Linked DNA regions of Daphnia pulex. The protein of the gene in region 3 binds, or shares a complex with, the protein of the main gene of each other region. Links are inferred from orthologs where the notes say so. Each region holds a gene or a part of one and is shown on either strand. Other genes may lie near its edges.

The links.
Region 1: cyclin-dependent kinase 8-like (region 3) and mediator of RNA polymerase II transcription subunit 7-like share a complex: the UniProt entries of both Caenorhabditis elegans proteins name them as parts of the mediator complex. The link is inferred for Daphnia pulex from reciprocal best matches to the Caenorhabditis elegans genes cdk-8 and let-49.
Region 2: cyclin-dependent kinase 8-like (region 3) and mediator of RNA polymerase II transcription subunit 31-A-like share a complex: the UniProt entries of both Caenorhabditis elegans proteins name them as parts of the mediator complex. The link is inferred for Daphnia pulex from reciprocal best matches to the Caenorhabditis elegans genes cdk-8 and mdt-31.
Region 4: cyclin-dependent kinase 8-like (region 3) and mediator of RNA polymerase II transcription subunit 21-like share a complex: the UniProt entries of both Caenorhabditis elegans proteins name them as parts of the mediator complex. The link is inferred for Daphnia pulex from reciprocal best matches to the Caenorhabditis elegans genes cdk-8 and mdt-21.

Annotation. Positions count from the first base shown.
Region 1 is NC_060019.1:10,644,773-10,652,017, reverse strand, and holds mediator of RNA polymerase II transcription subunit 7-like, read right to left. Parts: upstream 3,041-7,245; 5' UTR 2,905-3,040; coding exon 2,719-2,904; intron 2,662-2,718; coding exon 2,191-2,661; 3' UTR 2,122-2,190; downstream 1-2,121. Other genes in the region: GPN-loop GTPase 2-like, read right to left, coding at 1-3; proteasome assembly chaperone 3-like, read right to left, coding at 14-194, 257-367, 431-525; tyrosine-protein kinase Btk29A-like, read left to right, coding at 3,405-3,566, 3,656-3,923, 4,037-4,390, 6,798-6,838, 6,943-6,999, 7,121-7,185. UniProt on the Caenorhabditis elegans protein: Component of the Mediator complex, a coactivator involved in the regulated transcription of nearly all RNA polymerase II-dependent genes.
Region 2 is NC_060024.1:13,242,944-13,249,872, forward strand, and holds mediator of RNA polymerase II transcription subunit 31-A-like, read right to left. Parts: upstream 3,617-6,929; 5' UTR 3,476-3,616; coding exon 3,463-3,475; intron 3,385-3,462; coding exon 3,304-3,384; intron 3,247-3,303; coding exon 3,150-3,246; intron 3,091-3,149; coding exon 2,880-3,090; 3' UTR 2,792-2,879; downstream 1-2,791. Other genes in the region: fructose-bisphosphate aldolase-like, read right to left, coding at 1-36, 108-303, 393-575; 2-oxo-4-hydroxy-4-carboxy-5-ureidoimidazoline decarboxylase-like, read left to right, coding at 1,960-2,146, 2,226-2,379, 2,452-2,647. UniProt on the Caenorhabditis elegans protein: Component of the Mediator complex, a coactivator involved in the regulated transcription of nearly all RNA polymerase II-dependent genes.
Region 3 is NC_060023.1:3,948,394-3,957,044, forward strand, and holds cyclin-dependent kinase 8-like, read right to left. Parts: upstream 4,428-8,651; 5' UTR 4,216-4,427; coding exon 4,055-4,215; intron 3,992-4,054; coding exon 3,805-3,991; intron 3,725-3,804; coding exon 3,584-3,724; intron 3,516-3,583; coding exon 3,326-3,515; intron 3,261-3,325; coding exon 3,146-3,260; intron 3,086-3,145; coding exon 2,987-3,085; intron 2,890-2,986; coding exon 2,817-2,889; intron 2,748-2,816; coding exon 2,650-2,747; intron 2,583-2,649; coding exon 2,498-2,582; intron 2,385-2,497; coding exon 1,911-2,384; 3' UTR 1,818-1,910; downstream 1-1,817. Other genes in the region: protein disabled-like, read left to right, coding at 1-1,221; uncharacterized protein LOC124198281, read right to left, coding at 4,799-5,560, 5,633-5,973, 6,032-6,272, 6,332-7,093, 7,177-7,281, 7,345-8,495, 8,561-8,651. UniProt on the Caenorhabditis elegans protein: Component of the Mediator complex, a coactivator involved in regulated gene transcription of nearly all RNA polymerase II-dependent genes.
Region 4 is NC_060027.1:1,943,294-1,950,373, reverse strand, and holds mediator of RNA polymerase II transcription subunit 21-like, read left to right. Parts: upstream 1-2,997; 5' UTR 2,998-3,090; coding exon 3,091-3,132; intron 3,133-3,208; coding exon 3,209-3,421; intron 3,422-3,498; coding exon 3,499-3,660; 3' UTR 3,661-3,737; downstream 3,738-7,080. Other genes in the region: nudix hydrolase 8-like, read left to right, coding at 1,688-1,856, 1,925-2,016, 2,080-2,290, 2,347-2,573, 2,642-2,821. UniProt on the Caenorhabditis elegans protein: Component of the Mediator complex, a coactivator involved in the regulated transcription of nearly all RNA polymerase II-dependent genes.

The DNA.
Region 1 (7,245 bases), on a different chromosome or scaffold from region 3:
CATGTTGGAAAATTTATGCAGATTTTTCGGTGAGGGAAAGGTTGATCTTTAGGAATTCGCCAACTTGACGAAGAGTTTTCGGCTGATAGTCTTTAAGTGACAAGGCAAATAAAATGTTTTGCTGTGTTGGAATAAAGTTCACCAAGAAACGTGCAGCAACGTGAATTTCCTCGTCGTCTCGACCGAATAAGACTCTACAAAATTGCAATGAAAGTTAAAAAAACGAAACGAAATTGAGACGACATACAAGAATTACCGAACGCTGTAAACTGCACTGGAAGAATCGTCTTTCTGAGCAACGTCCCGACGGACTTCAACCACGTTTCCCACCTTGCCGTATTGAGTAAGTATGATAAATAACTTGTCGCTAAAAAGGACAATGAATTAAAGTGTAAGTAATGCAAGCAATGAACTAAAGAATTATTCCAACCTGAACTTTGAAATGACAACTTCTGTTGAATTCCCGTTAATCTCGATAGTTTCTGTTTTAGTCTGGACGGGAAATCTTCCCGCTACACCTTCCATATCAAACGATATCCAACCTGAAAGATATAAAAATGGTTCGTAAAAATTAGTGGTCGTATAACAGAATGGAAAGCAATAAAATGGTAATTGACGTCAACTAATTATGATGTGATAAATGCATTTTTTTTTAAATTTTATCCAATTTATTGATCACAATAATCAAAAATTTTTTAAAACTCTAGAAACCATTCTCCTCTTGTAAAAACGTTGATACTCTTCAGGCAGCATGGACAGGTGTTTCAGAGCAGATTCAACCATCTCCAACGCCTGCAGTTTGAAAGTTGAGATAGAAAAATAACCGAGGCCCTGAAGCTTTGACAGTGCCTTACTTTTGAGGCCGGTAGCGGATCTTTGTTGCCGTAAGGGTCTTTTTTATCGTACACCTCTGGACTCAAGTTTCGCCAGAAAACGTTGACTGCTACGGAGAACTCGAGTGATGTCATATTATGAAACCACAGAGCCGGGATGAAAAGAACGTCTCCGGGCTCCATGATACATTCGTGAGATGTTACTTTGGCGAACTCCGGAAAGTGTTCCAGATCAGGAAAATCAATGTCGATAACCCGAGATTTGTCGCCTTCCAAATAGAGATACGGAAGGTCTTCTGGCGAATAGAGAACGGCTCGTTTTTTGCCAGTGACTTGGACAAGAAGATTGTCCATCACATCGTAATGTGTCCACAACTGAACTCCTTCAGAAGCCACCCTGAGGACACTTGAAAAAATAGTGCTTGGTTCCAAAAACTTGGGAACTTGAAAATCTTGGCAAAGTTCAGGATAATGAGAATCAAGATTGGCAACCTCTCTTCCCCTTGAATCAGTTCCAAGTGCCCTTAAATAGTAAACTTCACTGTTTGTTAGAAAAAAGTTTTCGTGCTCATTTTCAGAAGACCTTTTGATTACTTGATCAAACGGCAGTGTTTTATAATGAAAGTTTTTGGTTAGGAAATTCATTTGCCCTGTTTCAGATACATGAATCTTCACTGGCTTATTCCCAACATTTTGCGAAAGATATTCAGCTGTCCACTTTCCTAGACAACTTCCAATGTCTAATCCTCTGAGTATGACAGGACTTCGTTTGGGATGGATCTCATCAAAAAATTGTTCCATTAGGATATTGTTATAGACGGGAACTGGGCTGACTTTTCTTTCAGTCATTTTAAAATTTACTCTACTAACGAAAGATGATCACGTGTAAAAACTTGCTTTGGCTATAACAATTGAATGTTACCTGCAAGGCGAAATGATAAAACTAATAACTATCGATAGACCGGTTCAATATACAGTTAAATTAACAGCAATGCACTTACCAAAAGCAGAGAATTAACTTCAACGGTATTGTTGTTTCGAATCAACTTTCAAGAGGAAAAATTTGAAGGAAAAATATGTTACAGCGACTGCAGACGGACTAAAACGAATAAACAACGTTGCAATTTGATCTAGATGTTTAATTTAGGTGGATCATCAACATTTATCAACTAAAATACAAATAGAAAAATCTATTGCAATAATTATTTTAAAATAAAAATTCTTAAAAAAAAATAAATCACCGAGATTATGTTTGTCCCAAAACGATTAAAAATAAAACAGCAGACTATTTTACATCAGAAAGGCGAGTAGATCGAATGTATTTTCCACTTTGAATAAACATAAAATAACACAGAATTCACAAAGAATCAATCATTTGACACAGAACACGATCCTCCTCAGTACACCCATTCCCAGAAGTTTGGTTGCTTGCATTGCCTTCTGAAGGTTGAACCCGTTCAACATCTATAAGGAGCTTGATGTTGCCTTCAGTTGGTTCAGGAATTGTGTTGACAGCCTGCTGAACCAATTCCCAAGCTTTGTCAAAATGTCTTCTGAAACGCTCTGCAATTTCCAATCTTTGTCGTTTTTGTTGTTCTAGCATAACTCTAAGAGTTTCCCTTGCTTGATGAGGCCGAAATTCATTGACCAGATGATGCATGTGAATGAAAAGCAAAGTGAGGTCATCAATTTTTGTGGCTCTTGCTTCAGACTCTGGATTTCGTATGCAGATATCAACCAAGTCAAGGAAACTAGCAGTGATGGAGTGATTGAGCTTTTTCAGTTCTCTTCTGTGGTCATAGTTATTAGGGTACAGACGTCGTATATTCTGGAATAGTAAAACGAGTATTAAAGAAAGCTTTGATTAAGAAAAAACTTCTATCACCTGGCTTTCAAGAGGTCGGATCACAGCATCATCAGTATTATATGGATTACCAAACATGGAATAATTGTCTGTGATCGGAGGAGGTGGTCTCGGTGTTCTTCCTCTTTTAGCGTTTTCTTCATTAAAAAGACTGACATATTGCATCGGTGGCAAAGGTAATGAACTAACTTGAGCCGTTTCTGACATTTTTACTTTCCCACTGGAATGAAGCAATATAGTAATGTAAACAATATAGTTTGTTTTCAAGAATGAAGAATGTGACGTTTTCTAGTTCGTTTGCTTGGGGATTTCAGCAGACTATTTTTTGATCAATGTTCTCCTTTTTGTGGCTGTCCCGACACGCCATTCTTGAATGGAAACAAATTTGATTTAGAATGTTGTAAAAGAATTCAATTTTACATTAAATTGTCATTAAATCAATTAATCGTTGTTTATTTTTTTATTTTAAATGTATATTTCCTCGATTTTATCGCTAATTTTCGGAGGAAATTAAATCCGATAATAGTTGTCGGCAACTGCCGCTAGATCTGTCCGAGTTGCCAGTATTTAGAGAGGTTTGGAGAGCTTTTTCTTCGTCCTGCTTTCATTCTCTTCGTACCAGGGTCCAGGGAGAAAGACAATGAACGAAGTTATAACAGCTTTATCAAGTGGGGACTACTTTTTTGATTAGTGATCGTTTTGTAAGTATGTTTAAAAGCTCTGCCAAACCTCTTGCAGGTGAGGTAAAAAAGCAAGGCAATTTAGTGAAACGATCACAGAACAAGAAGAGGTTTAGTTTGATCAACTACAAGAGTCGATGGTTCGTCCTTACCACAAAGTTCCTCGCCTACTACGAGGGCGAATGCGAGGTAAGGTTTAGTTCTACTAAACACGCATGGACTGTGTTCGTGAATCCCTTCATCACTAATTCATCACAACCATCAATTCCAAACAACAGAATCGCAAAGGAAAAGAAAAGGGACGTGTCGACCTCCAAACAGTGAAAGTTGTGGAAGCTGTTGATCCAGCACCTGACACACCTGCCATCGGTCCATTGGCAAACCTTACAGGTTCCATTCCGAGTGATTTGAAGGGATCTCCTGCTTTTCAGATAGTGTACAATCCTTATGAGTGTAATGAAGGTTGTAGTGCAACAGACTTGACTCTTTGCATTTTCACTCCCACTCAGCAAGAAAGAGATATCTGGCTTTGGAATATCCGAGTTGGTGAGAACATTCTCTTTTGACGTCTCAAGTAGTTATGTGTGACAAATAGCAGTATTTATCTCACATGTTCATTTTATCTCATCTAATAATTTATTTTATTTTTCTCCTGATAGTGGTCAAAGACAGTGCTCCTCTTGTGAATGTGTATCACCCTGCCCTGTGGGGGAATAGAAGTTATCTTTGCTGTGGATCAACCCAAAGGTCCACGTCTAAGGCAATAAACGGTTGCCGTTCTGTAACTTGGGCTCCCAATACACTTCAACACATGGGCATCAATTTCAGTAACATCATCCACCATCCGTCTCCCTCACCAAGTCCTGTCGCTAAACCTGCGAATGGGGCTGAAGTCGAGGCGGCCATGGTCAAACCAACGGCGATTAAACCCACGACGGAAATTCATCCGGCAATCGTCGGGGATGTTGTTCCTGCATCCCCTTCCACTTCTCACAACGCCGTTGTTGCGTTAGGTACTATACCCGCTTATGTATCCTACTAAGTGCTAACTAATGATTTACACCCGTTCGTTGCCTGCAATACTTCTAGGAAACAGTAGTTGTACGACTTCTAAGTACATGAACAACAGTTAATGTTGAGTTATTTCGCATCAAATCCTTAGTCAAGGACTTTGGGAGGGAGGGGGATTTAAGCCAATAGAAGCACATTCTAAGAAACTGCGTCGTTGGAATAGATTCAATTTGTTTTCCTTGTAAAAAAAACTAAATGGATAAAGTTATTACATCCACTTCACTTGCGAAGCTAAATTATCGGATAGCTGAAAAGATCAACTAATTATTAGAAAACTAGAGAAGTGAGTGTTGCGTGTGGCGCTGCAGTGGTTTAGAGAAAGAAAACTTGTGTGAGATTGGTACTGGCAATATTCATGAAAATTTTCTCTATTGAAAAATGTTGGGGATTTGCGGTCGGTCGGAGAGAAGAAGACCTAGAGAATGCACACAAGCTTGTTTTTCCCCGAGATTTTTTTATTCCTTTCGGCGGTTTTTAGTTCTAGCCCTCTCCCTGTACTCAGTGGGCACTGACCGCGTCTCTCATAAATCACGTTTCTTTTTCTCTAATGACGAGAAGAGGACTGCACATCTCATCAAGTCCCGTGTGAGAGCGAAAGCAAACGACAAACTGGACTATTCCTACGCGAAAGTGTGGGAGAGATGATGAAGCCAGCACAGCACAGTCTCTCATATCTCTCAGAAAAACAGCCTACGTTTGTTTCATTCAGATACTGAAATAGTTACCTGTCAGTTCGATTAGTGTTGCGCTTGTGTTTACGAGATAAAAAATAACGTGAGAATTATTGATAAGCTTCCACCTGCTGCCTTGGTCCATTGTTCAAATCTATTTTGTTGTAGTGCAAGTTTTGCAGTCAGCTCGCCCCTACCTATTTTGTTTCTCTAGTTTCAATGCGTGTATGTAAGTTTTACGTACATGGCTGATGTTTCAGAGGTTTTAACGGGCAAATTATGCGCATTTTTGGTTGCCGCTGGCCTATTTGGTCCACAATGTCTTCGGATTCTCTCTCTTATAAGATCACCGAAAGTAAATTGACTCTAGGTATGGTTCGGCTTCACCGTGTTGTGTTGTTTTTTTCTCTCATCGGTTTTCTTCTCATGTTACTACCCTTGAGCAATCGAAAATCGCACAGGCTATTCACGTTGACTCCCACCTGAAAGTCACCTGTTGAATGACTCAACAGGTGTTCAATGCGTTAAGTTACAATCGTAAACCATCGCGGTGGGTCTTTATGTGCACTTGGGTTTGGCTTGCCTTCCGACAAATTTCTGGAATTCAATTTCTAATTTTAATCTGTTGTATTTGAATGCTTGCGAGGGCAATCATTTCTTATGCGGTTGTGTTGTATGGAAAATATTTACATTTGTGATTTATTGTTTTCTTCGGGATTTCCCTAGTCCCCTTGCAGAAAATCCAGTATGTGAGATTATACCACAACTTATCTGTTGTCCGTTAATTCCTGTTTTCTTGGTTTCAACGTTTGAAAGTAGTAGTAGCGATAGAAACTTGTCGACAGTCTTGTGTGGTTGCGTGTTTCAATTCCCTCGAGCGTATTCTAGTGCCGTGTGTGTGTAAAGTGAGTTGGATGTTGATTAGATTCAAATCGACGGGAGCTCGGCTGACCTCACCTCCTCTTTCGTCAGCCAGAAATGGTCCAGACTGGACGTTGCAAGTTTTTCCTTTTCTTTTTTGGGACTATTAGAATAACTATTAGAAAAGTAAAAACCCGTCCTTGTTTACGAGTTTCTGACACGCGTACAATTCAAAGGAGCGCGTTAAAGAGAAGGGGAGAAAGTTCCCTCCTCAATTTCTCATACCGGTATCGAGTCTGCTAGGAAAAGCCTTCCTTATATCCATTGTTCGCCTGTGGTTGAATAGAAGACGCAGCAACGATTTCTCCCACACTCGTTTCTCCCATTCTATCCTTTTTTCTCTCTCTCTCCCCTCTTTTTCTCTCTTCTATCCCATTTTTTTATTTTATTTTTAGTTGTGTTTTGTATCCATCTCCAAGCCCTTGAAACTCTTAGGTCGAAGACTACATATAGACGACAGGCCTATTTTGTATGCCAAGGACGGAAGGTTATTATACGGCTGTGTATGTGTGTGTGTGTGTCAGTACATCCGCCAAATAAGCCTTTGAAAAGAAGAAGAGGAACAAAAAGAACCCCCCTCTCCCCAGCTTCCCTTCTCCCAAGTTCGATGATAATTCAGCTCTACGATGAAAATTACCTTTCAAACCATAAGACACCCCCCATCGTCTCTTGTTCGCTATCGTTGTTCTCCATCTATGTTATTTATTTTCCTTTAAACCGCCACTCATCGTGCGCTTTATTCTTTTTTCACCATTAGGTTCTTCCATCCCGACTGAACCCGCTGTCGTGCCTAAGAAGGTATGCAGTCAAAACGAAAGATTGACCCTTATTCATGTCTTGTTTATTTGCAAAAAACTAATCGTCGCATTCTTTGTGTTTACCTTTTGGGATCTTCCGTCCAGGTTGTGGCCCTCTACCCATTCCAGGCTATCGAAAGCGGGGACATATCCTTAGAAAAGGTAATTGAACTCGGCACCCACATATTTTTGGTGGGACCTGTGATTTCGCTGTCCAGTCCCAATGATGCTTTATCTTTCGTAGTCCAGAAAGGAATGTTCAATTGCGTTTTTTTCCATTTAGGGTGAAGAATACGAAGTGGTCGACGATTCCCAGGAACACTGGTGGAAAGTCCGCGACAAGTTTGGGTATGCTTACATAAAAGAAAATTTCCATACAATTCTAATTCTTTTTTCCAAATTTTGTGC
Region 2 (6,929 bases), on a different chromosome or scaffold from region 3:
TGTACTGGGCGCAGCGAGCGTCCAAATCGTCCAAACCTTTGCAACGACAACAACCAAAAGTTTTAATTCGCGGGGAATTTACGTGTTGACTGTATTTAGAAAATTACCTTGGGTGGTGCATTCGTCTTCAGAGCCAAAGAGGTTGACCACACCCTTGTCTACCTTGATGCCAGGGTAGATTCCGCGTTGCTTGAGCAGCTCGGCGAAGGAAGTGCCGCAGCTGGCTTTCTGGTAGAGAGTTTCGTGGAAGAGGATAACACCGGAGATGTTGTCATTGAGGGCAGAGTCAGCGGTGAACAAGAGCTAAAATACAATATACGAATTAATAATTATAAACTTCAAAACAAGCTGTAATTTCGTATTTTCCGGTCTCAATTGAGGTCGGTTAATACCTCGCGATAAGCGCGGCGGTTTTCCTCGGTGTTCTCAAGACCGATATCAGCAAATCGCTTTCCAACGGTGGCGGTGGACTCATCAGCAGCCAAGATACCTTTGCCTGAAGCCACAATGTTGTGGGCAATGGTACGGAGCTCCTCCTGCAGGGCTGGAGATGGGTAGTTGAAGTAGGTCGTCATTTTCTGTCAAGTAAAATAGAAAGTTAGACACCACACTTTAATTGAATTACTTAGAATTAGTTGTATTGGTGCGGGTAAAGATCATCTCAACATACTACATGATCCTAGATGACCATATGACCTTAGTCTGTTGCCAACCCAAAGGTCATTCTAAGGATAGAAAAAAATAGCTCAGAACCAAGGGATTCTAAAAGTAGAACTCACATTCCCAATACGATAAAGACTTTTCATTTAAACAACTTCTAGACATCCAATCAATGAGCAAGGCAAAGTTAGAAAGCTGCCTCCACTGAATATCTTTAGAATCATGGTTCGATCAATATTATACGTCGTCCCTACACGAAGGTCACCTTGACACAGGATCGTTCGGTACGAATCCTAGAAACTCTTACATTTTGTGAACTACATTCAAACCGATATGGTTTCACACTTACCTTCTCCAATTTACAAGATATGTAACTATTCAAATTGTATGATGCAACTTACTTGGTAATATGAATTTGACTGGAAAAGACGAAGGAATTATCAGGACAGACGAGATCGTACAGTCGGTGCAGTCGAAGTGACGAGCTAGTCTTGGGAGTCGGGGCTATTTGCTATATACCGCCGGTTGGGTGGCTTTTAAAGAGTCGAAGCGACGAGCCTGAATCCGTGCGGCTAGCGGGAAAAATTCCAACGTGAATCTATGCACGTTGGCTATAAATACGATAGTACTGACTGGGAAGTTAAGTTTGGTAAGGGCACCTTGTCGTCTCGTCCTCACGAATTTTCTGACACGCTTTTTTCTGTGTTCCCCTTCGTGTTTGACAGTAGTATGACCCTCAGGCAATGTCAGTTGATCACGTGCACCTCGACAAGCAGACATAAAAGTGGCTATTCTATGTGAAATCTTTAAAAATTCAATTTCCTTTGAGTTTGTTAACTTGTTATTATCACGCAATTCAGTATTCTGTTTTGATGCCGAAAAAATCAAAACAACTTATGCACACAAACAATTTCAATGCCATTTAGATGACGTTGTTTTGACCGTGGAAACGAGATCCCTTAAGTGTGTGTACATAAATATGGCGAGAATATATGAAGGTTAAAACTCGATATTTAGCTACGTGATAGTGGTGGAATATTATATTTTTATTTTTCATTATCTTCCCAGATAATCGATCGAGTTAACTCAAAAACAAACTGCAGGATCAGGATTGAGAATAATCCACGTCATTATTTAGTGCTGCAATAACAAATGTATCAAACTTAAAAACAAACACGTTTCGAATTTTTATTCGTCTACTTTTATTTTGATTATAGACGACCTTGACTATCTTTACTACGGCTGCATTCTGTTTAGATCGTCGTCAAGCGCCACTTGCTCGGTCTACACACGTCAAGAATGGCTGATATGCTGAACATTTCGCTGGTAAACGAATTGAATTATGAAGATTTCATCAGTCGATTCGGTAATGTAGTTGAACATTGTTCAATTTGCGCGGCGGCAATTTGGCGTAATCGCCCATTTCGTGACGTTCATCATCTCCACCAAGAAATTTGCTCGTTTTTGGACCTCCTTCCGGACACAGGTTAGAACTATTTAGTTACAGGCTGCTTGAATGCTTATTTATAGCCAATCAATTGAACATTTGTTTTCTCATTTGATAGGTAAAGAGGGGGTGCTAAGACTTCACCCTGATTTGGCTGGCAGGCTAGCTGAACTTGGCAGCCTAACACAGGAGAGTACTGCTGAACAGAAAGCTGCTGGTTTAGACACAATGACACCTGGTGAAAAACAACTGCTAGGAGAGACCAACATCAAGTATGACAAATTACTGTTCTATAACTATATAGTAACTAATGAGCTGTGTCTTTTGGGCTATTATTTTAATAGATACAGAGAAAAGTTTGGATTTCCTTTTGTTATCTGTGCCAGGCAGAACAAGAAGGAAGCAATCTTGAAAGGAATAGTTGAGAGATTGGAACACTCAGCTGCTGAAGAACTAAACATTGGGATTGAAGAAGTGAAGAAAATCTGCCTTTTGAGGTTGTTGAGTATAGTAACTGATGACAAATCTCGTAATATGTAGAGATTTTCCACTCGCTCCCATCAGTTGAGGTCAACAGCAGCTATTCCATTCTAAACATTCTCACTCAAAACAAGTCTTCCAAAACATATGTGTTGTTAACATTTTGTCTGGTAGTTTGCAAAAACTCAACACAAAATACAGCAATTTACAAAAATTTGTCTATATTGTCTTGCATATACTTGCCCAATATAAGAGAAGTTTAAAAAGTTCCTTAAACAATAATTATCATGAATCAAACACTTTTCTGGGGTGTTGGCTCATTCTGAACAGTCATCATGTGCTTCTCAGCTTGACTTTGAAGAAGACGAACCCTCTTTCTAGTGTAATGTTGCCAGTGAAGGATTTGTTGATCATCAATGAAGCGAGCACACTGGCCATTCACAACCTCCTTTCTGAAATGCTCATATTGAAGCAAGTCTAGGAAATGCAAACACATTGGGTACCTGGAAAATAATGAAATTGTAATTTCTAGTTAGGGTAAATTGCAAGTGAATTGGTGTACTTCAAATATTTTGCATAAGCAGGCTCCTTCCAATACTGTAAATACTTGATGTAGTTGACAAACGCCGGATCCTTAAAATAGCCACGTTGAGCAAGGACTAGTGTAAACAAGGCATAATGAAAGTGTTGATTTTAAAAATAGACCAAATACTTACAGTGCAGATAATTTGGATTTGCGAAACATTGCACAAATTCTAGTTCCACCTGAAATCGAATCCTTTGTTGTTCATCAGTTTCTACCCATCGGAAAAAGGAATAATAACATAGCAATGAGAATCTGTATTGAAAACGACTACACTTCACGATATATTTACCTCTGGTGCTCATTGCGAAGCAAACAACGAAATAACGTAGTTTGCTTCAACAGTTTTGGAAATCTAGAAACGAGGCAACCGGACAGAATGGAAACGTCAGACAACAACTTGAAATGGAAATTGGAAAGCGTCAACTTTTGCAATTTGTCGTCTGCTTGATCAATTGATGCCATCTAGAAAGAAATCGAGAAAATATTAAAAATTGAATTAACTTAAAAAAATTTTTACAAAATAAAAAAAAAATTAAAACGATTTCAAATTTCATGCCCACAATTTATTAATGTGTGTGGTGGCCTTATCACACAGTTTGATTTCCGAATTTGGATAACATTTTGCGGTTGCGCTGCGCCGTAGGACCCTAATAAACCATGAAGCCGCAGCTGATAGGCTAGACGGCTAGACTATACTAACTTCAGTTTGCACCGTGAGTTATTTTATTTTCCTGTAGGAGGTAAGATCAATAGAAGAATTTAGATGGAATATGGAGTTGAAAAACAAAAATACCAAAATAAAAAAGTCAAATCAGAAAAATTATGAATTCAGCAGGAAAGGCGAACGGAAAAATAAAAAGATGGAATATATTACCGTGTGATTTCCAGTTGTTTCACATATGCGACATTCTACGCCTCCGTTACTATTTTATCGTCCTTTTCCAGAACGGAAATATTTGAAAGTAGGCTAATCAAAAATATTCAACCCAAACGAAATCTGTTGAAATTTTTCTTTGACTTTTGTTCTTATTTTCGCCACTTTTGATCGGATATCCGGTGCGGGGGCGATAGCATTCTACCATGTATAGGTCAGAAATATCATCTTAAAGTGTCATATCTACTCCGTGTATACGTGACATCCGGATAATGCACGCGGCCGTGAGGGCGGTGTATCATGTCTGAGTGCATATTCACGTATTGTACATGTGGTAGGTCTATACTACGTAGCCATCCTCCTGCGCACTCGGCGGATGTATAATGGTTGGTTCTCACCTACGGCCCCGAGTTTTCCGGTAGACCATGCGACAATCAAGAGGATGAACGTATCAATCTTAATTCCCTGGTATTATCTAATAATCGTGCTTGAAATTCCACTCTTCTATGATTATAAGTTCAATCAGCAAAGTGACGTGATTGGAGTAACAAATAGATTCAACGCGGATTTCTGCCGTCGGTCCGGGATAAATGATGGAGTAATATTCCATCATTGATAGCACAGAATTCAGTAGAGCGTAGGTAGCAACAGGTGGCGTGACATGACAAAAATGATCCAGCTGTTGCTGAGGCAGTGTGGGCTTTTATCAATCACCTGCCGCTTATTGCCTGACCCATATCAGCCTTTTTTTTTTTTACCTGAGGAGTTTCAAATTTTCGTGGAAAAGATTCTCATTACATTTCCCCGCCATATTAATAACGCTTTTGCCACTAGGTAGACGAACCGGTGGGCGGTGGCACGTGCGACGGACAATGCCCAAAAACTGACTCCGCCTCGTCTCTATACTTTCGGCAACTGTTGTGATGTTAACCTGCCGTTGAAGGCAATTACAGCAAGCCCCCGATTCCATTTGCGTCACGTCGCCGAGTATATAGCAGTCGACGCAGAGAGGGGGGGGGGAAACAAAAAATTAAACAATGTAATAAACAAAACAAAAGGGCGACGCGAAATCTTATTAACGCAAAATATTAACGTCAAACAACTTGTCGACGCGTCAACGAAAATGGCAATCATATGCAGCCCACTGCTGGGGTACATCGTATTTTTTAACTAGTCTAGTAGACGAATCATCATCTTTCTCCTGAACCTTTTGCTTCAAATGAACTGAGACTAGACATTAATATTTATCTGATCGCGTTATTTACAAAACAGCAAAGCGCATAGCATACAACTTATTAATCTAATGGTACTCAGCAGTAAGCGTGTTATACGTCGTATTAGGATGACAAGTTTCCTACCAGGTGAAATCTTCATTCGTGAATATTCAAGTGAACATCTGATGCGATTTCGCATTCATTATTCAAATATTATAAAGAGTAGTACAAACACATTATATAGCTAGCGCTTTTAGCTGGGTAGCTATATGAAAATTGAGTGACAATTCAAAAAGAAAAGGAATAATCAGAAAACGGGATCAAAGGATTTGGTCGGATTTGATGGTCTTACGAAACGAGTGATGGGAATAAGAATTCATTATGCAACAAACTGTGGGGAATTGAACGACAACGACTAAAAAATAACGGGTGGTTGCGTTATTTTTGTCTATTCTGTTAACGTGACCATCATTAAGTGGCTATTAACGGGATCCAGTTACATAGACTTTAATGTCAACCATATACCGACTCTTTTTTTTTCTTTACTGAAATTATCAGAATGGGGAATAAGTAGGCTAATTATAATTGAATTGCCAGGAACACTTATTGACACATGCAAAAAATCTATAAACGAGTCGATCCTATTAGTCGCAAATGTTTCAATTATTCAACTCACGCCGCTGCAGCTATATAATGAAATCACCAAGAATTTGCAAGTCTTAATCATCCTTATGCAGCGCTATACATTATTTTCGACATGATGTCAAAAATAGAATAGTTTGACATCAAAATAAAATCTTTCTTTTGTTTATAGTCTTCTTCCCTTTCTCACTCTTACGCGTACATGTCGAGGGGGTACGAGTGAATGACATCAAGTCTAACTATACCGTCTTCAACCAGTTATACGGTACATAGAAAACATTGTAGGCTGTTGTCATGGAGAAGCAATTAGGGTCTATATTGTACTGTTGCCGTGAAGAAAAAATCCACCGGAAGAATAAGAAATTTAAGAATCAAATCAAAATATCGCCCTATATGCGTATTATTATTTCTCCTTCTAAGTAGAAAATTTGACTGCGAATCCATCATGTAAGCAGCACATGCCAGCTATAGAAAAACAAAAGAGTATCCGAGAAACATTGTGTTCTATTCTCTCTATCTAAAAGGGAATAACAGCTGATGATGTCACATCCTGCCATTACATTATCCAGTGCCAGAAAGCTTTTTTTTTTCTTCCGCTCCGGAATAAAATAAAAGGACACTGCTCTTAGGAGTGCAGCAGTGGGTCCTTTTTTAATATATAATACATATATATCAACCTCCAAGGGAGTAAAGAAAAAAGAAAAGTAGAATGATCGAATACATTACAGTGCGGATATGGATGGTGCCGTAACGGCGATGACGCCGGCGTTCAAAACGTTAATATCCCGACGAAATATATAGTAATGTGACGTGGTAATCGCTCACAACAGAGGAAATTCACCACAAGTCCTCATCTGATGTAACAACCAACAAAGAAGCAATATTACAGTTGCAAATTCCAGCCAACTGCCAACCTTTGTATCGATATTTTGGCCGGTGCAATCACACTCAGACTATATAGGATTGGCCATCGATCCATAACCATATGCCTACAGCACCACACATATGATTTGGCGTGCACAGGAT
Region 3 (8,651 bases):
GAGGAAGAAGAGGAAGAAGAAGAAGAGGAGGAGGAGGAAGAAGAAGAAGAACCAGAGCCCGTTGAAGTAAAAGTAGATGAAACGGAAATCTGTTATAAAGGTGGTAAAAAGTACGAAATACTCAGCGATGCTCCCGAACCAGAGGATGATTCTGCTACTCGACACGCTAAAGCGCCTCAACCGACGAATACTCAAACAGAAGCTCGTCCATCTGAAATCTCAAAGGTGTCTGATAGCGACCGATACGCTGCTCTTAGAGAGATAATGGAACAAGATTTGGCTGTGTCATCCACCGCTCAACAGGATGAGGAAATGGGAAATGGTGATTCCGAATTTGCAAATTTTGATGAAGTCACACAAGTGCTTGCATACTCAGCAACACAAGAAGCCGGATTTCTGTATGGCAACCCCCCAGTCGCGTCCGTCGGTAAAACAGTTTCCCCTATTTTCGGATTTGAAGATGATTTTAGCCACATCCAGTTGAATCGATTGACTGAATCGCCATATGATAAGACTGGTGCCCGACCCAAGACTGCGGTGCAATGTCATCCTAGCGGAAATTCTGTATCTTCCGGAAGTGCCGAATTTGATCACTTTGCCGAGGAGGACTCGGCAGTAAAATCAGCAGCAACTCACACCGTTTGGAATGGTTCGACACAGAAAGATTACAATTTTTCTGAAACGCCTGCAGATGAAGAGGAGGAGGAAGATGAATCAGAAAGAATAGAAGTCATCGAGAAAGAAGATAACGAAGCCATTGATGATTTGGCTGACAAGTTTGCTGCTTTTGAAGCACGCTTCCCTGCCAACCCAGTTGAAGGATTTGGTGATTCGTTTGCAGATTTTGACCTTTCCTCAGATAAAATGGTTACCGAACCAAATATTCCACCCGTTTCAGATTCGTTTGCTGTCGATTTTAGTTCAGCTTTTAGTGAGGCTAAGGATCCGGATCATCAGCTAAAGACCAAAGGAGATCAGTTGGTCAAGAAATCGACATCAGTAAACATCTTTTCACGAGTAGACGATCCCTTTGATGACGACTTCTTCCAACCGGATCTGCCTCCAGCTAAAGCTTCTTCCCCTGCACCTTCTAATTCTCAAATGGTTAAACAACCATCTGTTCATGTTTTTAATACGATCGTCGAAGACCCTTTTGCGTGGGTTCAACCCTTCGACGATAACATTCAATTTGATGACGTTGACGATGAATTTACTCTTTAAAACTATCATTTAAAAAGTCGGAACCTTGTCTATTGCGGATTGACGTACTATCTTTTCTCTTGCGCTAAAAATTTCTTTGTCGTTTCTGCCATCCCCTGTCCCCAACAATAACAAAAAAGAAAGCATCCAAGTAACATTTTCTGTCATATCTGTATTTATGACCAGTCATGGAAAGTGGACCTGAAAGTGTGGCAGAATAATAGTTCACCAAATCTCTTGGTGCATCTTTGTTGATGCCAAATGATGTCAATTGGCATAGAAAATGTGACGGGCTAGTCATCTTATTTTTTATTTGTGATTGTATTTTCGTTTCGTAGCCACTTACCATTTTACCCTTCTTTTAATTTTTTTAATTTTTTTTGCTGAACATGAATCAAGGACTCAATATTGTTTCTTTTTCTCGCTTTTTTTTGCTCTACCCAAGTACCCATACACAGCCTCCACTTGTTTTCGCTATTTGGCAGTTACTCCCTTCGTCAAACATGATCATAGTTTACAGCAATTTTCCTTTGATTCCTGGAATCAAAACACGATCCATCGTGTATCTTTTATTCTATGTACCTTTTTCATTTCCAGCGGTAATGCATTATTAAACGTTTTAGTATGAAAATGTACGCATTTTATTTTATTTTACGAATTCAAAATGAAGACAAAATACAATAAGTTGCTAGTAATAGATGAAAAGAGCATCAGAATCTTTGATTAAATGAGTTGTTTTGCTGAGGATGCGACTGTTGTTGAGGATGGCCAGGATGATTGGAATAGTTCGGATGCATACCTCCTTGCATGTTGCCTTGTTGTGACGGATGCTGAGGGTGATGGCCATGGCCATGATTAGAATTACCCGATTGTGAAGCATGTTGCTGTTGCTGTTGTTGCTGCTGCTGCTGCTGTTGTTGTTGTTGCTGCTGCTGTTGTTGCTGTTGTTGTTGCTGCTGCTGCTGTTGTTGTTGTTGCTGTGCAGAAGGATGCTGCTGTACATGGGGTTGCTGTCCAACATGTTGACCATGGAAATCTGGTGGGCCTCCTGACATGTTGGATCCACCAACATTGTTTCCAGGATGTGGGGGAGCCAACCGTACTCGTTTTGCATTAGGACCATGAGACTGGTCATTGGGGGCATTCGCTGCAGTATTCTGACCCTGTGGATTCTTAGCAATCATCTGAATTCAAAAGTGTACCCAAATGCCAAATAAAACGCAAATGAAAGAAAACCAAAACAAGGGAGACGAAAAAGACTAGATAAAATAAAATCAAAAGAACAATTTATTATTACCTTGCTGCTATCAGATTTGTCATCTTGCTCTTCGTCACTCAAAAATTCTCGCTTCGGGTACGGAATAGGACAACCAGCAAATACGCTAATGAAACACAAATCTGATCAAAACTGATTCTTATATTACATTATGATTCTTATTTTAAGTTTACTCTGAAGTAGGTAAAGGATCTTCCTGAAAGTAAGGATCAGCCATGGCAGATTCTGAGGTGAATCTTTTAGTAGGATCCATCATTAAAAGTTTGGAAAGCTTGAAGCAAATTAATCAGTCAAAAAAGGAGAGAAAAAAACGCAACTTTTAATTTTAAATATCGATTACCAAATGAAAAGCTTTAGTATCGGCTTTAATTTTATACCGGTCCATATACTTCATCAAGGAACATGTTTGATAGCTAAAAGAAAAAAATAAAAAAAAAATAAACAAAAGATGCATTTTGAACATGGAGTTAATATTAAGAAGTAAACAAACAAATGGAAATAAACACTTACTTGTTACGTTTAAAATCCTTGAGAAGTGTAGGATGTTCAGGCATTTTTTTAATATCTTCCCAGTCCTTGTCATGTGGAAATCCCATTACGTTGAAAATTCTACAAGGAAATGTAATAAATAATTCATTTCTGACACTCACGAAGAGCAAATTTTCATACCGATCGAGTTGATCGTGATGATAGGGATTGGAAGTTTTAATGTCTTCTTGACGACAATGAAAAATTGGTTCTGATGTTAGTAGTTCAGCAAAAATACATCCAATAGCCCAAATATCTAAAATAAATTGTAAAGCAATGATATAGAATTGTGAAACACCACACAAACTACTAATGTTTTACCAATAGCTTTTGTGTAGTGCCTAGCTCCTAAAAGCAGTTCTGGTGCTCGATACCAGAAAGTCACAACTACAGGGTCCAAATCAGCCAAAGGTTTCAGTGGTGAATTAAACAAACGAGCAAAACCCATGTCGGCAATTTTAACTCTTCCCCTTTCAATTCCTTCTCCCATGACTAAGATGTTGGCTGGTTTCTAAGGAAAAGAAAGCAAAAATCTATTTGTTGATGAAAATATTAACAAAAGCAGATAATTCTCAATACCAAATCACGATGAAGGATCCAGTTAGAATGCAAGTAGTGAATCCCATCCAAGATTTGATATAGCAAAGATTTTACCATGGCTTTAGGAGTGTAAACTGCCTTTTTATTTGCTTTGGCTGCTCTGTGGAATTTAATGATGTGCTAAATTTTGGTTTGTGACAAATATAATAAGTTAAAAGATCATGAACCAAAACAACTTTAGAAGGAAGATTTTAACAAACCCATAAGTCATGTTCTGCATAATCAAAAAGAAGCCAAACTTTGCGATCAGTATGGGAAAGAAATACTCGTTGAAGATTGATCACATTAGGATGCTTTAACTCCCTGAGCAAGGCTATTTCACGACAAGCTGACATGGAAAGACCAGTGCCTTCAATTTGCTTTAATGCATATTCCTTTTGGTCAGCACTATAAAATAAAACATAATTATATTGAACTTACACAATTTCTCGTGCTTAGAGAATATCAAACCTAATTAGTTTATTAATATCCGAAGTGGCGAATGTTTCCTTTCTTTTCGCTTTATACACATGACCGTAAGTACCACGACCAATCTTCCTTCCTTCATATTCAAACAGATCTTCTACTTTGGTACGTTCTACGCTCGTTCGAACTTTAAAATCGTAATCCATGCTAGTTATTGCATGAATGCAAATCAATTTGTGTAATGTTGATATTTTTTCTTGTTGACGATTTTTGGTTTGTTATACTGTAATGACGTTTGCCAGATGGAGGAAATGAAGAGCAGACGGAAAAAACTAAAAATTCAAATAAAAGGCAGAGCAATAGATACCTGGTCGGTTCTCGGCCGTGTTGGCTTCCCTATCCCGGTTTCAGGGTAACCGTGGTCCGATTTGGAAAAATTGATGAGCGCCTCTAGTGAGTGTGTCAGGTACTACGTGAAGCCAGCCAATCAGGAAGGGTCTATGAAAAACTCATTGACCAATCACAGCTTACTTTTCTACAAGAAGTGAACAATAATAAAAAGGTAGAAGTATCCAACTGTCAAACCTCTAAGTCATATATAAGTGTCCTATTTTTCTAAGTGTTCTCACATTCTTACATTTTATTGTTTGTTTGTGTAAAAAAAATATGTAATGACATGGTATGTTTAGTTTTCAGTTACTTTGAATTTTATTCTAGTGTAGTTACAAATGGGTATTTATTAAAACGAATCATTTTCTTGCATACAATGTTTCATAAATACAGAGGTACCTACGCAAGTTTTGCTAATTTTTTGTTTTTTTTTACATTTGCTGAAGCTTCAGCTAACAAAAGATTTTTTAGTCTTTTTGATTCAAAATAATATCTAACTCCCACATATTCTCTTATGAGGTAAGGTAACTTTTCATCTCGATGAATGTCACAAAAAATGGGAACCAAATGACAAGTTGAAATTTTCTCCATGCACTCTTGAAATGACTCCTCTTCATACATTTGGCCAATTGGCTCAAAATGACCCTCAATTACCTTTTCTATCACTCTGAATGTTTGGAACATATTTACAGTGACAAAGATCAAAAACCCCTTATTGCGCATTCGAGTATAATGATCTGCAGTGAAGTCTTCTGGCAACTCCAGTTCCTCGCAGCGAAGGGATTTGTAACAGTCAGGACATTTTGACATACTCTTCCTTGTGTGAATCATATAACCACACAAATCATAAATCAAAATATCTTTGACGAAATTAGAATTCGCTGGTTCGTTAATTTTATCAACAAACCGAATTGTTATTTCCTTCAGTAGTTTATCTTCTAATACTGATCTCAGGTCGGAAGCTCGAATGTCACTTTCCTTGGCTTGACGTTTAAGGCATTTTGACATTGTTACTAGGATGTTCATCTGCTCAACATTGTCAACGTTTGCTCCTTGTATAATCGTGGATAATCTTGCTCCAAGAGACACATAGCGAATGATTTGTTGAAAAGAAGTCACCGTGGGATGAGCATCAACACCACGTACAATGCCGAACAGTCTCTGTATGAATTAGAAAAAAAGTTATTGAGTAATTGCAATAGAAATGATAATCACGATTAAAATTCGTTTCACCTCTACTGGATCTTGATTCATTTTTCCAGTGAGGACTACTGTATAGCCTGCGTTAAACATTTCTTCAGTTAACGCAATAACGCTTCTTATAGTCATTCTCCATCCATGTACGGTTGTCAAGGAACAAAACATTTTTCGGTTTTTGTCCTTTTCATAAATCCTCTCAGTTACTGCTAGAACTGCTAACATGGCTTCAAGTATTTGTTTCCTGCCTTTCACTTTTTCATCATGTGCATTTATCCACCAGTTATTGGGAGTGATTCCTTCTTTGATATGTCTACCGTTGAGTACGTCAAAATTGTCATTCACAGTCTTTGTAAGCCGCTCAATGTGTTCAGTACCTAACAATATGTAATAATCAATAGCATTTTAAATTGATTGATTAATTATGGAAAATACCTTCAAACAACTTTTTCAGCCGTTTTTCATTTGCAGTAAAGGCTGGCATTTCACGGTAGATTTTAAAAGCAAGAGCATTTCGTTCCGAAAATGTTTGAGCAGCTAGTCTGACGTTCATTTTTTGAAAATTGTTTGGTTTTACGTGCGCTTCAGTTAATCGGCAGCATAACATCAATTGCAAACCTTTCTGGGCTTCCAGTAGATGTTCATACGAATAAAAATTTACGTTGTGTCCCTGGAACTACAAATAATATTTAGAATTACAAATTAAGTAAAACAACATTAAGAAAAATAAGTTACCTGAACTAATTTATGTTCAAGCATATGGTTTCTTGTGCATTTCAACAAATGAGGAACATCGTGGAGGCAATGAATTTTCACTGAAGGATCCATAGGGTGTAACATGGAATTAACTCCATCTTCCGTTCCAGAAACACCAAAATGGGAATACACCGTTTTGTTTGTGGAAAACCCATCACATACGCTTGCTTTCGTTATAGCTCCAGCTTGAAACAGACGCGCAATGCTTTTCGTAACTAGTTCTAGCAAAACTGTACCAGATGCTCCACCCTTTGTTCCAAACCACGCAAACGGTTGAATCCAGCCTTTATAAAATGGTCTGAACACAAACACTAGGACATGGTCTGCCAAACCATTTGGGACCATAATGGAAACTTCACCTGCAAAGTCTACTATGCCTTTCCACTTCAGACCTTTACTGTCCCATCTCATGTCCTTGGTTATTGATATTTCGTCCCACATTATAACTCCCCAGCGCTGCCATGCCAGTAATCCTTTGAACGCATCGGATATCTGCTCGAGCGCAAGCGAATTAAATCCAAACTGACACTCGGAAGAACTTAACATCCTTCTCATCGTTGACTGACTAGGAAGAGGTAGAAGTCCAATTTTCCGTATGTGCACATATGCTGAATAACTTTTCATCCTTAGGATGACGCACTGAATTAGAAAGGAATGGTCATATCTCATAGTCTTTCGGTGTCTGTTACGTTCTGGATCAATTTTGGCCTTGGCAATAAACATCTTAACAACCACTTTTTCCTATAAAAAAATTTGACAATTTATTGAGAAAAGAATAGTATTTCTGAGTTTCGGTGTAGCATGGGGTTCAAATAATAACTTACCGTTTCTGAAAGATGTCTTAGCTGATAATCTAGTCCATTTGTTTTTTCTTTTTGAACCATGATTTGGCATTCTTTGCGTAGATCTTTAATCAGCTTACAGGCATCCTTGAAAGACATAAAATTTTAAATTATAAAAATAATGATGGCATTGTTTGAAATCATAAATACCCTTTGTTTTCCTTTCAGAACTTTAACTTGTTTCAGACTGTTATCTAGTTTCTTTTGTTTCTCAGCTAACTTAGATTTCTTCTTTTTCTCCTTTGAAATTGGTATTTTTACTTCAATTTTACTTGACCTTTTATACAGGTATTTCTTCAAAAAAAGACATTTAACGCACAGTCTGTTCTTTTCTGAAATGGTTCTGCAATATTTCGATCTTAACACGCCAGCTTTGTCCAATGTAGCAGAAAGACGAGATGACAAATTAACATTTCTGAACCTTTCTTGAGGAATGCCAGAACAAATTTTTCGATCGTTGAAATCCTTTATCAATTGCGAAATATCTTCAATTGTTGTGAAATGGTTTGACAAAGCAGTAGTGGTTGATGGAATGATGGTTCCGTTGACATAATACATTACTTCTTGTTTGTTTTGAAACCGTACACTTTTTATGTTAAGATTTCCATTTGGTAGTTGATCCATCGACATGCAATAAATCATTTGTTTGATATCATCAAAAGACCATATCCAATTCTTTGGTACCATTGATAAAGTCACTAGTGACTGAAATGTCACAAAATTAGACTTGAAATTAGTAGAGCTTGCTTCCATAGAAGGTGCAACTGTCGAATCTTCGACAGCGACAGCAACGTTTTCGTTCATTACATCAGGAAGTGGATAAAAAATGGCTTCTTCAGCAGCCTGGTGAATGTCGATTGTTTCTTGAATAGTAGAGGTAGCGTCCATAGAAGGTGCAACTGTCGAATCTTCGACAGCGACAGCAACGTTTTCGTTCATTACATCAGGAAGTGGATCAAAAATGGCTTCTTCAGCTGCCTGTTGAATGTCGATTGTTTCTAGAATAGTAGAGGTAGCGTCCATAGAAGGTGCAACTGTCGAATCTTCGACAGCGACAGCAACGTTTTCGTTCATTACATCAGGAAGTGGATAAAAAATGGCTTCTTCAGCAGCCTGGTGAATGTCGATTGTTTCTTGAATAGTAGAGGTAGCGTCCATAGAAGGTGCAACTGTCGAATCTTCGACAGCGACAGCAACGTTTTCGTTCATTACATCAGGAAGTGGATCAAAAATGGCTTCTTCAGCAGCCTGGTGAATGTCGATTGTTTCTTGAATAGTAGAGGTAACTTCCATGGAGTGTGCTATAAGATTAAATTTAATGAAATCGCTCTTCAAAATAAAATGTAAAGAGAACTATTATCAATACCTGTACTGTCAAATTTCTTTCTCTTTGACGTAGTAGGTATTTTGTCTACTTTTGGTCGTTTCCTTACTGATGCATTGCTAGCATTTGCTTC
Region 4 (7,080 bases), on a different chromosome or scaffold from region 3:
GATCGATCGAAACTGTAAACTCGACTCGATTAAAATTTCATCGATTTAATTATTCGCAAAGTACAAGCGAGTTAAACAGTCCGAATTTGTTATTCAAGTGTAGCGTCAAGGTCCTTGTTTTCATTGGCGCCCGGTCAGGGATCGTGTGCGGATTGGCCTGCAATGCTAATAATAATACAATAACACAGCCAATATGTCACCATCATTATCTCCCGCACGAGCTTTTAATCTTTACACTAATGAAAAAGATGAGCTCCTTTCCCTGGGCAGCAGCAGAAAATAACATCACCAAAGCCGGACGATATTATCCCAGTGATTCATTCCGGATTCCAAACACACTCACGTGTCTCTCTAATATTTTCTTAGTGATGGAAATAAATCTTGGACAAAAAAAATGTGGAGCCCCTAGAGTGACGTCATCTCAAACAGGTCAAGGCTTATACTGTGTATTTCTTCATCTCTGGTCAAATTATAATTGTCTCGTTCACCGAAATTTCTGGTCGTCAGAGTTGTGTGTGTGTGTGGGCACAGCGTGACATTGCCCTACTCTCGTCGTGTGTTATATACGCGCGCCTTTTCTCGGTCTAAATTATCGATCATATGCTGCTCAGAGAGGGGGAAAGCGAACACACACACAAAATAGTTTTCGTATATATAAAGGAAAAGTTGGAGAGAGAGACGGATCAAGTGGCGGTGGCGCTCCTGTCTGTACAAAAAGCCAAACAAAGGATTTTTGATAACGAAGGAAATGCCAAAAAAGGGTCACACACAATATAATAATAATAATAAAAACGGTAGCTCTCTTCCCTCCCCACACACTTGTGTGTTTGCGCAGATGGTTTAGTTATACGTAAATCTCTTCTCATCCGGATTAAATGGGATGGATCATGATATTATATGGACTAACTCTTGTTTTGTTCTGGCGCATGACTTGTTCATGTTCCCTTTTTTGCTCAACACTTGACAAGTGAGTTGACAAGTTATATTTCATCACTGGGGGTTTGTGTGTGATTCGATTTCAATTGCTTTTGTGGGGGGAAGAAAAATAAAATGGATGATCATGGCCGCCAAATGCGCCACACAGCAATCCCAAACGGCTGACAGTAGAAACTTAGAAAGTGTGTGTGTGTGTATACAGTACGGCGAGTGGGGGGAGTGTACTACTACGACTTTGTGTATCTTTAAAAGAAAAAAAAAATGTATGCGTGCGTGTTTGTGCGTTTGACCGTGAGTAGGAGGTGGTGGCTGCCTAGCGAGGCGGTCAAACGAATCGGGAAAAGGGGCAGGAAAAACATAATCATCCGTTCCCGTGTTGATTTGTCACGAACTTGGCCATCTAGCGGTCGAAATTCGCAACTTGCCAGGTCGTTTTGGTGAAATAACATGGGCAGAAAAAATGGATAGATACATAATCTTGGCATTTGTATTTCATGCCCTTCTAGTAAAGTGTCTGTATCATTTATTTATCATTTATTGTTGGAAAAGACAGGCAGAGATTTACAATAGAAGCCGGAAAAGAGAGGGAAAATGTGTGGCAACTCGGATTCACGGGACATAAAAGTGCAGACGATGTCAACATAAATATTATACGATGTCGTTGGACGATATCTCCTGCCTCTAGAATAAAAAGGACTCTGTGTATAGATGAAGAGATAGGCCGTGATGACATATTTATTGAACGGGTGTTATGAATGCTACTGCTGCTCGTCATTTATTGAGCAGCGCTCTGGCCAAGACGAAATCAATTGTTGTTAAAATGTCGACATTCCAAGGTGCCAAGGATCTTTTCGGCGGAATCATTGTGCGCTCGAGCGAAGAGCCACAAGAAAGGAACCGAATGGAGCAGCTTCTTAAAGGTGCAAATTTATTTTTATATATTAACACATCATTTGTTTTATGTAATAGTTGTTTTGTTTGTTTTTAGAATCTCTGCAAGTCTGGTCCACCACTGGAGTTCGTGGAGTCTGGTTTGAAGTGGAACCAACCTGTGCTGAATGGATTCCAGTACTAATTCAGGTAGTCAAAGAAGAATTATTGCTAGTCAAAACTGCACGAGCATTACCTTATTCATTTTCTTAGAATGGCTTTTCTTTCCATCACGCAAACCCAGAGTTGAGTGTGTTGCTCAAATGGTTGCCTTCTGACGAACCTTGTCAAGTGCCTAGTTATGCACACACAATGGTAGGCGCTGGAGCCATGGTTGTCAATGATAAGAATGAGATTCTTGTGGTTCAGGAAAGGTATTACAAAAGACCACACTGGAAACTCCCTGGTGGTTATGTAGATCCAGGTATGTATATTTAGACATCATTAACATTCAATCATTACCAATTATTAAATTTACAGGGGAAAGTATTGCTACTGCTGTCAAGAGGGAGGTGTTTGAGGAGACTGGTATTAAGACAGAGTTCGTTTCACTCGTTGCCGTGCGGCATTTGCAATCAAGAGAGAAGAATCCCAGTGCAAGGTTCGGCTGTTCAGACATTTATTTCGTGACTTATCTCAGACCTGTTGAAGGTAGCACAGAAATCAAAATGTGTCCTCGTGAGCTCAGCGACGCTTGTTGGATGCCGGTTAGTTTTCTAAATGTCAACATTTTCAATTATTCCTAGTCTGTGTAATTGAATTTTAAATATTTTAGCTGAAAGAATATGCGACTCATCCGCTTGCCTTCGAAGTTGGGAAAATCTTTGCTACACAGTTAATGGCGATTGCCGATGGCGATAATCCCGCAATCAACTGCCTGGAATCTATCCATCAATTGACTAATAGCAATAGCCAAATTTACTTAGTTGAAGGAAAACAAAATTTTAAACTGTAATGTGTTCAGGATCACGTTCTAGTATTTTGTTTTAGTGCCTGTTACGGGAATCAGATAACGCATTATATTTAGCTTGAATTGTTGTTTTAACAAATTATATATGCAGATCGGTAAATTACTGCCCAGTTCCTGTAATCATCAGAATGTAGAATTAATTTCACAATACAGGTTGTGAATGTTTAAATTTGGCATTGAAGTTATCAGATTCATCGCTAGGTGGCGTAATAGCCGGCACATCTGCTTTTCTCATCTCTGCATTTCCATCAACAATGGCTGATCGTTTGACACAACTCCAAGACGCTATAAATGCGGTATTTATAACTGATTGCATTGACGAAATTGCCAAGTGTATCGTCTCAAATTCGTGGTTTAATTCTCTGTTTCTAGCAAGCTGATAATTTCTGCAATGCCATCGGTATTTTGCAACAAACCGCCCCACCGGCTACATTCCCAGGTTTCGATCGAGCAGGCAATCGAACACCTCAACAACAACAAGAAGATCACGCTTCTCTTTTTGCCACATTGATTGCCCGCTGCGCCAAAGATATTGACGTCCTAATCGATTCACTACCCAGTGAAGATTCTACCTCCGAACTGCAGGTATAAACTTGGTTCTATTAGTATTCTGTCGGTGCAATGTTCTACGAAGTTGACTAAAATTAATTCAATCGCTGCAGATTGCAAGTCTCAGAAGGCTGGAGAATGAAAATGAAAGTGCCGCTGCACGATTGAGGGAGGTTGTCAGCGAAGGAGAGCTGATGCTCGAGAAAATTCAGAATGCACTTCACGACATTGCACAGACCCAACTGGCCATGCAGAGCACAGGTCCAAATTCCTAAATCCAACCATTATTTGCTCTAGTTCCCTATTTTTGATATTTAAAAGAAGAAAATGAAACAAACAATTTGCTCTGCAAGAATTTCGTTTCATTTCTGGTTTCCGCCACAACATCAATTTTAAATCTGTTCTTTTCAAAATCATATTGAGTGAACATTCTTGTCACACACAGGTGAGGCAAGTCATTTCAGGAAGGAAGGAAGATGGGGTGACAGATTGTAAAAGAAACTGTTTGAAAAGGATTCCAACCTTTTATATATCCACTTCTTTTTTTGTCTTCCTTTAGAAAACCCAAAATGGAAAGAAGGGGGGAGAGAAGTTGCTGTTCACTCGTAAGAAGAGAAAGAACACGCGGTCCGTTTGTTTAGGAATGGCGTGCAACAAAAAAAAAGAGGAGGGGGGAGCGGGAGGAGGAGAAAAAAAAAACGATAGAATGTTGTTTAGCTTTTTATTTTTTAAAAAAGAAGAAGTAGAAAAAATTCTCCCGTGTGTATAAATATAGTGCTGCCATCTTCTCCGACCCCTTTCGGCGATCTCCGGTCGTTCGGTAAGAAGGGGGAAAAATAAAGGGGGTTGGAAGTGGGTGGCGTTCAGTCTCCCCACTTCCTTTTTTTTTCTCTCTCCCTCCCCAACCCTTTTTTGATGCAACAACAGTGTCTGCGTTCAGCGATTATGTCTTTGGAGAAGATTACGTTTGGCAGAATTTCAGGTGAGTTTGAACAATTTGTTTTCTTATTTCACGAATTTTCCAGGGTAAATTTTGATGTTGCTCAGGATAAATATGAGATAACTGGGGAATATATAGAGTCTTATTAGTTCTATAGAAGAAGCGCCGCATACCGCTTCGGGGCAGCAACTGTGTGTGTGTGTATATCCCCCCCTTCTTCTTCTTTTTTAAATGTTTTTCTTTAAAGAAAACAAAAAATACTAAAAGGGAGGAGGAAGATGAAGAAAAGAGAGGGGGAAGAGTGCAGCTCGCAAAGGTCCCTCACTTCTTTTTTCCAACTCTTAAACGAGTTCTTCTTCTTCGGGCTGTCTGACTCCCCCCCCCCACCCAACCCCTTCCTTCCCCCCCCACTGAGATTCTTAACACATACGAGACTTTTATGTTAATTTCGTTCCTTTTTTCTTTCTTTCTTCTCGTCTTCCCGATATATTTTTCTTCTTTACAAGATTCCGGCCGAAATAATAAATATACCAGTCTGTCTGTCTGTCTGTGTGTGGGTTCGTTATCAAAACCCCAAAGTCGAGAGAGGCGGAGGGGTTAGGTATTTTTACTCCATTTCACTCCGGACGTGAATTTTTTGTTCTTTTTATTTTTTTCGGGAACAACACAGTAGAGTGTGTGTGGCACGGTCGACTGTAAATACAAATAAAACCACTTCCTGGAACTGTATAGATATACCCCTCCTATTCTTTTCCTATTTTATTTTTAATTTTTCGGAACTTTTTTTTGAATTTCCCGCCTCTTTGAAATTTGTTTATTTCTGCGTGTATTTATTGAAAAATATTCGTGTCTGTTATTGTATACAGACACGCGGTAGGTTTTTTATTACTTAAAAAAAAAGAAATAATTTTTGAAAGACATTGTATCTTTCTTTATATTCTTCTTCTTCTTCACACAAAAAGCACAGCTCTCTGTCCGGCTGAGTGAGCTAAGAGCTTCAGGGGAGGAAGAAGAAGAAGGACAACATTTTGTGGGCGTGAATTTCTCCCTTACGGACATTGTCGCCGACATTTTCAGTTCTGAAAGAGAAAGAAAGAAAGAAGTTTTTAAAAAGAAACATTAAAAAATAGAAAAGTATTTTCCTTTTAAAATAAAGCAACGACCGCCGCTAGATGGCTTATTGTTTCGGGACAGGTATATAAAACATTCACAAGTATATACCGACGTAGACAGCTTAGATGCACACCTGTAGATAGTAGCGAAAAATGTTTCTTTTTCTTTTTCTCCCCCTTCCCCAACAACAGGTTTTATTCCATTTTTTTCGTTCACTCCAAACCATTATTTCTCAACGTGAATTAGAGACAAATGCATCACGCAAAGGTTTTCGAATTTGGCGGGCGTGATTATTTTATTTTTCTCCCGAAATTCTTGTTTCAAGGTGAATGGAAATATTGGGAACACACGGGAGAAAAGAGAAGAAGAAGAAAAATCATTTTGAAAATGATAAGATGGAAACTGTTGATGGAGTTGAAGAAACGAGTTGAGAGATGAGGGGAGGAGGGGGGAACGGCATGACTATCATTCTCGTTCGTTCGTTTTTTTTTCTTCTTTTTTTTGACCATATGTGGTGGGAGAAGAAGGATGGGAAATTTCCCTATCTAACCCTTTTGGTTGGTTGTTGTTGTTGTTGTCTGCTGGCGGGGGTATGGAACTGAAAGAAGAAAACGCTCTATCACATTCGACCATCTTCTACTACTACCCCTTCTTTGCTCTCATCGTTTCTTATTTATTTATTTCTGATTTCTCTCTCCCCACCCCCCGAGAGAGTCTGAGATATCCCACATATAAGAAATTCCATTTGATATTCATGTAACCAACTGACCCAATTCCAAATTCTATACCTATTTATAAAAAGAGAAATCCACCCCTTTTATATTTAATCGAATTAAAGTTAATTGTATTTTAAATTAATGGAAGTTTAAAAAAACAAAAATTTCGAACGAAATGACAATAGGGGTTGTTCTAGGCGATCGATAATAGGCCTTAACAAAAATTTGGTGAAAAAATTATTATTTTCCCCTTGTTTTGGGTTCGAAAAACGGGAGGATATCCGCCATATATTTCCCCATTTTGATTGCGGGCGTCGCATATGCGCCGTTTTTCATAGATTAGACAATAGGCCTAGAGGGGTATTACGATAAAAATGTATAAAAAGGAGGGGGGGGACTGTTGTATAACGGGAGAAGAGGGGTTCGTTGACTTGGGGTTGTTATATTATTCAAAAAATAGTATCCATCTATTTTTTGATGGAAATAAGTTTTTTTAAGAAAAAGGGGTGAACGAACTCAACAAAATGTTCCCCCTTATATTCACCCCCTTATCCCCCCCCCCCACACACACACACTTATATCCAAGCTCCCCATTATGTGTTCCGTTCGTTCTTTTCTGTTTGTGAGAGAGGGGGGTCGGGATATGAAATTTATGTCTTCACGGTTCTCACATAGAGAACCCCAGACACAAACACGTACTACACACATATTTTTAAACTTTGGAAAACAACACACACAGGGGAAAAAATATTATTATAAAGTGAACAACAATTTTCGGGACGCGGCCGAGTTCCTTTGTCGGTCAAAAAGTTAAGGATGTATCCACATAATACACAATATCGACCGCACACACACACACACGAGATGGAAGAAAAAAAGTTCATTTTCTCTCTGAAAATGTGAAATGATTCGAGTCAGTTTCACGG